2 linked regions of the Callithrix jacchus genome follow. The protein of the gene in region 1 interacts with the protein of each later gene in a biochemical or structural test. Links are inferred from orthologs where the notes say so. Each region holds a gene or a part of one and is shown on either strand. Other genes may lie near its edges. The genes, in order: SELP and CD24.

The links.
Region 2: the proteins of SELP (region 1) and CD24 form a complex in vitro, tested with the Homo sapiens proteins (2 studies listed by BioGRID and IntAct). The link is inferred for Callithrix jacchus from reciprocal best matches to the Homo sapiens genes SELP and CD24.

What each region holds. Positions count from the first base shown.
Region 1 is NC_133519.1:32,863,348-32,867,157, reverse strand, and holds part of SELP (P-selectin), read right to left. Parts: intron 3,568-3,810; coding exon 3,477-3,567; intron 1,787-3,476; coding exon 1,400-1,786; intron 1-1,399. UniProt on the Homo sapiens protein: Ca(2+)-dependent receptor for myeloid cells that binds to carbohydrates on neutrophils and monocytes. Mediates the interaction of activated endothelial cells or platelets with leukocytes. The ligand recognized is sialyl-Lewis X.
Region 2 is NC_133505.1:113,102,268-113,106,624, forward strand, and holds the start of CD24 (signal transducer CD24), read right to left. Parts: upstream 2,938-4,357; 5' UTR 2,855-2,937; coding exon 2,786-2,854; intron 1,722-2,785; exon of another isoform or gene 1,640-1,721; intron 52-1,639; coding exon 1-51.

The sequences.
Region 1 (3,810 bases):
AGAGCAGTAGGATAATCTAATATCCCGATAATGTCCATCCTGGTCCAGGAATATATGGTTATTTATTTATTTATTTATAAATGCATTATTTATAAAATAGATCTGATTATATGACAATGCATGCATGGATATGTTTTCCCTCAGCTAGGAGGCTTGGGGAGTAGAGGGAAAATGTAGGCTTACTCTACGCTATGTATTCAGTACCATCCATGTACTGTTGAGGGCTGCTTCTGAGGGAGAGGTGTTTAAAATCTAAAGAATTCAGAAAATGTATGGCAGATGATTTACCAAAGAAGCTTCAGAGTACTTAGAAGCTTCCTGCTCAGGGCAGTCCATACCATCCTTAGGCACAGTGTTCATGTGCTGTGAAGGACAGGACAGGCCCCTCCAGACAGGGAAGCAACATCAGAAAGAAGGAATCAGCTCTGACACTAGGGTCATGACTAGAGGAAGACCAAGCTTTCGTGAATGTCTACTTACTCTGGAACTGGGAAAGTTGAGAATTAAAATACACTCAAAGTATTTCACCTTCAATTACTTCTTCCCATTTCCTGCCCAGCCCCTACCACCACTCTCCCACCAAAGTTCAGTGGATCTAAAGATATATTGTTGTTGAAGAGAAACTAAAGCATTTACAATCCTTAGTTATAATCTCAAATTGTCTATAAAAATGTAGAGCAAAGAATGTGGTAGTTTGTATGTCTAAAAAACAAACTTTGGAATCAACATGAATTTGAAACTGGCTCCACCATCAACTAGCTTAGAACCCTGGGCAGATGACTTAATAGCTCTGAGCCTTTCCCTCATCAGCAAAATAAGAGTAATAGAAAAACTTGATTGCTGGAGTTGTCATGAGGACTGAAGGTGACTAATATTAAATGAACAAGTGGCACATGAACTAACACAATGCCTAGAGCATATTGACATTCAGTAGGTATTAGTCGCAGCTGTGTCACCGAGGGGCCGGGCTAAATTTTCTTCCAATTTATACTCTCTGTTATACAAAGCACAGGGGTGAACAAAGCTCTAGACCTAAAATTTGGGAGACAGGTTTCTGGTCCTCACTTTGCTTCTGTCCTCCTCCACGGCCTTGAGAAACTGAAACCTTGTGCGTGTCCTTTTCATCAGTTATAAGATGAGACAGGTGAGCTGGATGATATTAAAATTTCCCCCTAGTTTTAAGTAGCCAGTTTTCTCTAATTCTGATCTTACATTCTTCAAGGTGCTCAGTAATGCTGATTGACTAACAGTTTACCCCTTGATTTCAGGTCCTGCATTTGTACCTTTGTGTTGACTCGGTGGTTACATTGGCCAACCAGAGAAGGTTGGCTAAAGTAACCAGAGAAGGTTCTGTTTTTCATTTTTAAACAGAAATGTTTCAAAGTAGAGAAGGCCCTACCCGTATAACATAATGCGCGCTTTTTCTTCAAGCAATGCTCATCATTCCACTTGCCAGGGGCTGACGGACTCTTGATGTAGATCTCCACGCAGTCCTCGTTGTTCCTTTTGTTGTTAGGCTCATTAACAGCCCAGTTCTCAGCCTCGTCAGTGAGAGCCTTTTTGGTTCCCACCCAGGTCCATGTCTTATTGCTCTTTCGGATCCCAATCCAGTAATAGGAGCTGTAATACGGTAGGACCTCATTGAGGTAAGCAATTTCATTTTTATTCTGAATGGCCACTAAGTCTGTGTAGCGATTCTGGCAATATTTACGGGAAATATTCCATGAGTATGCTTTTGTGCTGTAATGATAGGTCCACGCTGCCACTTCTTTCTGGTTTGTTAGTTCTAGAGTAAAGGAGAGGGAGTGCCGGGTTAGCAACCTTTACCAAAAGGAGGTGATCCCAAGCATGCTTCTGCATAGTCAGGTGAGTTTCTGACCAGAAGATGAATACCAAAACTCGACTAGTTTATATCTAATGTAGCTGTTTGAAGGAAAAGGGGTGGTTTCCACCTTTCAGTTAAAAGTGTACATGAAGTCGCAGGAAAATATCATCTTGTAAGTATCCTTGATGTTAAAGATTTGGAATCATAAGACATGAGAGTTGGGAGGTACCCTGGAAGTCATCTAATTCACTCCTCTTTTTGTTTTTTAAATAAAAGAAGGAGACATTTTAAGTCATTTGCCCAAGCTCAGATTAAATGACATAAAAATGTCTTAAGGGCAGGCTCTACCTCTTCACATGGAAAATAATATGCTTTATGATCTGGAGCCTAACAGTTGGTTCAGCCTCATCGCCCACCATATTTCAAAACAGAATTCCTCTGTCCTTGAATTTGCACATGCCCTTCCCACTGTCCTGGCTGTCCTCTCCTCTTATGTCTGGTAGACTTTACTCCCCCTATTCTCCATGGCTTTCCCAGGTGGACCCTGTGTTCCTTCCTCCAGGCAGCACCTCTTCCCTGTCTGCATTGCCCTCATTATCATGTATGGTAATGTGTTTCTTTGATACAGTCTACTTCTGCCAGGTTGTAAATCTCTGATGGTGTTTTCTTTTTAGCTTTGGATCTTTAGCACAGAGCCTAGAGTTTAGCACTTAATAGACCTTCAATTAATGCTTGTGGAATGAGTGAAACACAGCAGGTTTATGGCAGAGCCAAGGTGGGAAATCAGATACGCTGATCTGCAATCTTACACTCATTCCATTTCTCTTGGCTATTTCTCTTTCATTAACCTCTGCTTTCTCCGTGTCTGCATACTCACTTATTAAGCGAGGGCTCAGAACAGCCCTTCTCTACAAGTGTTTACGATACCAAATGAAATAAAGAATGTGTCCTTCAAAAGTATAAAGGTACTACGTACTGCTATCATAGCCTGTGGGAGTTCACCCGGGGCAGGAGGGCCAGTTCCCACATGAAGAGGTGTACAAAGCAAGCAATCAGGCCTGGAAATGGGCTTCTTTCCTGTTTATTTAAAGGCTTGTTTCTACTCAACTCTCTCCTCCGCTGCCTGCATGAGGATTAGTCACACTTGTACGTCCCTTGCTGAGATTTCCAGGGCATTGTTTTGCCTTAAAGACTTTATTCTGATACAGCCAGGGCTGCATTATGATTCATAGACTTTAGGCAACTTTGCCTATGTAGGCTTTTTCCTCCATGCTAACATATTCAAAATTCTATTTTGCAACTGCACTGGTAAGAAGATGAATGTATCACTATATATTAAAGTATTTTTTTGACTTCAAAGAAAATAATTATAAAAGAAATTCAGACATGTTTGTGGGTCCCTAAAAATTTTGTGGGTCGTATTTACTGTGCCTAATGGATAAATTGGTCCCAGATGTATCATTTTAAGTTCTTTCCTATGCACTTTCTATCAATATTACAGTGTTAGGTACATTTTTCTTCCAATAATCTGGACTTGGACAGTTTTCCCATGCCTCAAACCAGCTGGCTACAGTCCTTAAAGTCCTTGCACATAGCTCTGGGCTGTACCCTAATTCCTTAGGGCTAAGTGAAAACTTAGCATTAAGTTTACCAGAGATCAGGGCACTGAAGCAAAGGAGCTGCGCAATTCCAAAGACCACTCTCAGGGATCTCTGGTACAAGATGGCTTTTTGGCAGCTGGCCTGAAACAAGAAGAGAATACATTCTTTTAGCATCCATATGCCACCAACGTGGCCAAAAATAATTCTCGTTAATAATCATTTGGCTGAAGTACAACTGTGCCAATTTTCATTGGACGGGCAGTTCAAGCCCTCTGCTTCCTTCTTGCTTCTCATTGCCCTGCTCCTAAGTTCTACGCTGGATGAACACTGTAGCAAGGCTGGTGACAGCGTTCATTTCTCCATCCGTTCAACAAATATTTGTTG
Region 2 (4,357 bases), on another chromosome or scaffold:
CTGGGAGGAGTTACTTGAAACTGTTACAACAGCTGTTTGATTGGAATAAATCTAAAATATATAAAAAGTAACAAGGATAAATTTCCACATCACAGCTACCTCCACATGCTCTAATATAAAATTAAAGTAGGTGATACATTCTTAGACTGTTCTCTTACCATTAGTCTCTTACCCACATCATTAAATTCTGAATTCTTGCTCAGCCCACCTAGGTCATTCACCTAGTTTCAAAACAAGCTAGGATGCCTCAAATGCCCAGTGGCAACAAGAACAAAAAAAAGTTATTCAATAACTTTAACTCCTGTTTTTATTTCTTTGCAAAGGAAAAAAGGACCAAGTTAACTAATTCAGTTTCTGAGATTATACCGACTTAATGGCATTGCAATAATGTCTATTTTCCCAGAAAAGGAGAGATTTTAAAGTTGTACAAAAAAGTACGGATTTTAAATACTGTAACGGAGATTTACGGAACTAGAATTAACTGGGTCACTGTCTATCCTGGATTTGCTAGGTAACTTACCCATATCCATTTAATACAGCCTTGGCAACTTTGCCTTTTCCTTAAGGGGGAATTGGACTCTTATCTACTCCCTTAAAATCTGAAATAATAACTCTTCTAAAAAATGGCCACAGTATTTGTGCTAAATTGAAAATGAATTTTTCCTTTAAGGCAGAATGACTTCAGGAAAACACCATGAAGTCGGGACGATTTCACAAAAGAGGACGAGAGGGTATGGTGTTAAGTTTCACAAACAGCAGCCTCACTGGTCACTAAGCTCAGTGCTGTGGCCAAGAATCAAGGTTCCCCCAGTGTCCCAGCGTCTGAGTGGCATCATTCACCACTGATTTTTCAAGCCACGAAATGCACAGTCCAGTAGGGCACGTGATAATCTCTCCTTTGTCATGGAACAAAGGCAGATCGGAGTTTTCAGCCCTCACTGCAAGGGAGGGTTTACAAGGGCTTCTGATTACAGGCGGGAGGGAGGACGTGGCACCAGGCAAGAGTCTGGGCCCCATGTACATTTGGCTGCCTATTAATCCAAAGATAAAGCCCTCCTACATCAGCACCAGCTCCTTTTGTTGTAAAACCCATAAGGTCATTAAACAAATATTGACTAAAGAAATATACAAATCCTATCCAAAATAGATTAGTGACAACAACAAAAAATCTTGATCAAGTCAAATTTATTTATTGGGCACCTACTGTGTGCAAGATTGAGTGTGTCCCATCAGGAAACAGCACTCCCAATAAAGGAAAGCATGGATGTGGTATTTACTTAAGACAGGGTGCCTGTATTGGAGACCTGATTTGGGAATCCCTGAAAGTAACCTGTTCTTTATTCACACAATGAGTTTTAGTGCAGCAGGTGATGTTTTCTTTTTAAAACCCAGTGTATTGATCCGATAATCTAAAGATCCTCTACACCAACAACAAATAATTTTTGTTTATTAAATCGACACTAAACAAAATTTTCTCTTCCAAGCCAGATTTATTCGCGTTATTAAAACTTCTCACTTAAAATGTTGGAGGAAAAAAAATCTGGTCCGAGAGGAGATGGGGAGGGGAGTGGAGGGAGCCGGTTTCTCCCGGCCGCGCCCCTCCCCCACCAAAGAATTGAGCAAGGCTCGGGAGCGCAGCGGACTGGGAGGAAGACAATAGGGTACGTTAACTCGGCCCGCGGTAAGGAAGAGCGCTCCACACTCTCAGGCTGCACTCCCAGGTAAGCCCAGACTTTGGATGCCTGGGGACGGCGGACCCAGCGCGCCCAACTTTTGGGGGAGAAGCCCCAGGGACAGTCCTCGATTTACCCCAACCGAAGGCGCTGGAGAGCGGTCAATGCCATGCTCCAAACCCGAACTGCCCCAAAGAAACGTACTTTCTTCGCCCCCGCCCCCGGCCCCGCCCCCACCGGGGTCTCCCAGTCCCCGGTCTCTCTCGCCCGCGTCCACCCTCGAGGCAGCGCTGCGCGGCCCCCGGTACCCGCACCCGGGGCGAGGTTCCCCGGATAGAGGGTCTGGGGAGACAGCGCTGGAAGCGACGACCCAGACAAAGCCTGGCGGGGATTCGGGACAGAATCGTCCCACCATGCTGCCTCCCCAGAACTAGCCAAACTGGGCTAAAATAACCTGGGGCTCCTAAGATGACAAGCGTTGGACGTGAAAGGTTGTACCGCAGAGAGCGCAACGTCAGGAGAGGGTCCCCGCCTCGACTTCAGCCCCAAACCTCCCGGGACTGGGGCTTATGATAGGACCGGATAACCAGAGCTTCCCCGGGATCCCCAAGCCAGCTCCGAGGGTGGAGGATGGGCGTGAGCCGCGCTTCCCGAAGCGGACTGTCGCCTCTCTTTGTGTAGAGCACTGGGAGCGCGAAGACACTCCTAGGGGAAAGCCGGTGCTCAGGGGACCCGCGACGACGTCTCACCGGAGCCTGAGCTCTCAAGGCGCTCTACCCTGCAGGCACCTCGGGCCCCTGGGTGAAAGTGGGCAGTAGGCACCTGGCTGCCTGGGAAGGGACAGCGTGGAGCCTGGGTGGGGCAGGGTCCTCCCAGCCCGCGCGCGGAGCTGCATTGTTCCCAGGGCCGTGGGAGGGGAGGGGGGATAGCATGCAAGGGAATGGAAAGTGGGGTCCACATGGCCCTCTCCCCGGTCAGCTAACCAAGATTCTCTCCCGCTCCCTGTCCGTGGCCCGAGGTAGGGGCGCAGGACGGTCCCCAGGGACCGGGTCCATACCCCCGCCCCCACCCTGGACACAGCCCTCGAGCCCCGCCGGGCGCCAGGGCCTCACCTGCGTGGGTAGGAGCAGTGCCAGCAGCAGCAGCCCCAGCCCGAGCCTGGCCACCATTGCTCTGCCCATGTCCCCTCCGTCGGTGCGCGGCGCGTCTCGCTGGATGTTGGGTGCTTGGAGAACCGCTGGCTCCCGGCGGGCGCAGGCAAGGTGGGGAGCGCGGCGAGCCGACGGGACCTTATATACCAGGACAGCCACAATAGCCGTGACGTGGCGCCGCCCGCCCACCCCGGCTCCCCTGCGCCGCCGCCCGCCGCCTCCCCGCCTTACCCGCCCCGCTCCAGGCTCCCCAGCGCCCCCTCCCCCGCAGCCGCCACCTCCGCAGGGGCCCTCGCGGACCGGGAGCCCCCCGGACGGCCACCGCTGCAGGTGGGCGGGAGCAGCCGGCTGCTGGTACCCGGCTGGTTTCCCCCGCCGGCTGCGGGCTGCAGGCAGCCTGGCACAGGCGCCAGCGACTCCCACACAGCACCAGGGGCGCACACGCGAGCCACACACGCCGCGCCGGGGGCCGGGCCCAAGTTTCCTTTGTTTCCCGGGACCTGCCATCTTACGCCCCAAAAGAAAAGTCCGCGCCTCCGCCGCGGCGGGGCAGCCGCTGGTCCCGGAGCAAGTGCGCTGCCACCCAGACTGCAAAATGCGCCCCGGGACCCGAGAGGGGCCGCGAATTCCAGTGCGGCCGCGTTGGGGGGCGGGCGCCGGGGCCCCTCGGGCGGGGTTATCTCTCTGCCCGCCGCAGAGGAAAGGGGAACGCGGCGGTCGTGGCTGGGACGCGGGCCGGACGCTCACCCTGGCCGACGGGACCCGGGCGCCGCCTAGCGCGAGCCCTTCCGGGAGGGTCGCGGGGCTCGCAGGCGGCGCCCGGGTCCTGGGCGATCTGCGCGCTCGGCCCAGCAGCCGCGCCCTCCCCGAAGCCCCTGCTTTGTTTTGTGAGCGCCTCGTGTCCGCCAGGCGCTGTGAGCTCAAGTGGGCGTCCCGGGTCCTCATCCTCCCAGGAGCTGGAGACCCGCTGCCTGACGCTGCAAACTGTGGGGTTTGGGTCCCCCGCGCTCCTGCCTGCGGCGGGAGAGGAGGAAACCGCCCACCCTGAAGGGACCCCCCTCTCTCCGGCCCTGAAGGCCCCACCGCCCTCCCCGCGCGGCTCCTACTCCTCTTCCCCGCCCTGTCCTACTCAGGGGGCGGGAACCTCCCTTCATGGCGGACCCGCTACACTTCACCTTCCCTTCCGAATTCCTGGGGACACACTTTTTCGGTCTCTGCTGCCAGTCATTCGTTTAAAGAGCAGAGCCGTTCGGGATAAAGCCGTTTACTTATCCGTAGTTGCCACGTGGCAATTTAATGAACTGGCACAAAGAGGAGATTCGTCATTACTCTTTAGATTTTGGTGGAATACTTTTGTCCTATCCATCCTGTTTTGAAAACTTTAAAGCATACGGCAAAAGCTGAAGGAATTTTACTGGTGGAGTATTTTGAGTTTAAATTTTAATTGCAAGGCTTAATCTTTTTATTGAAGGTTTAGCCCAGGTGTTTTTCAGTCTTTAAAGCAAACAGCAATGACTAAACCTAGAATGGTTG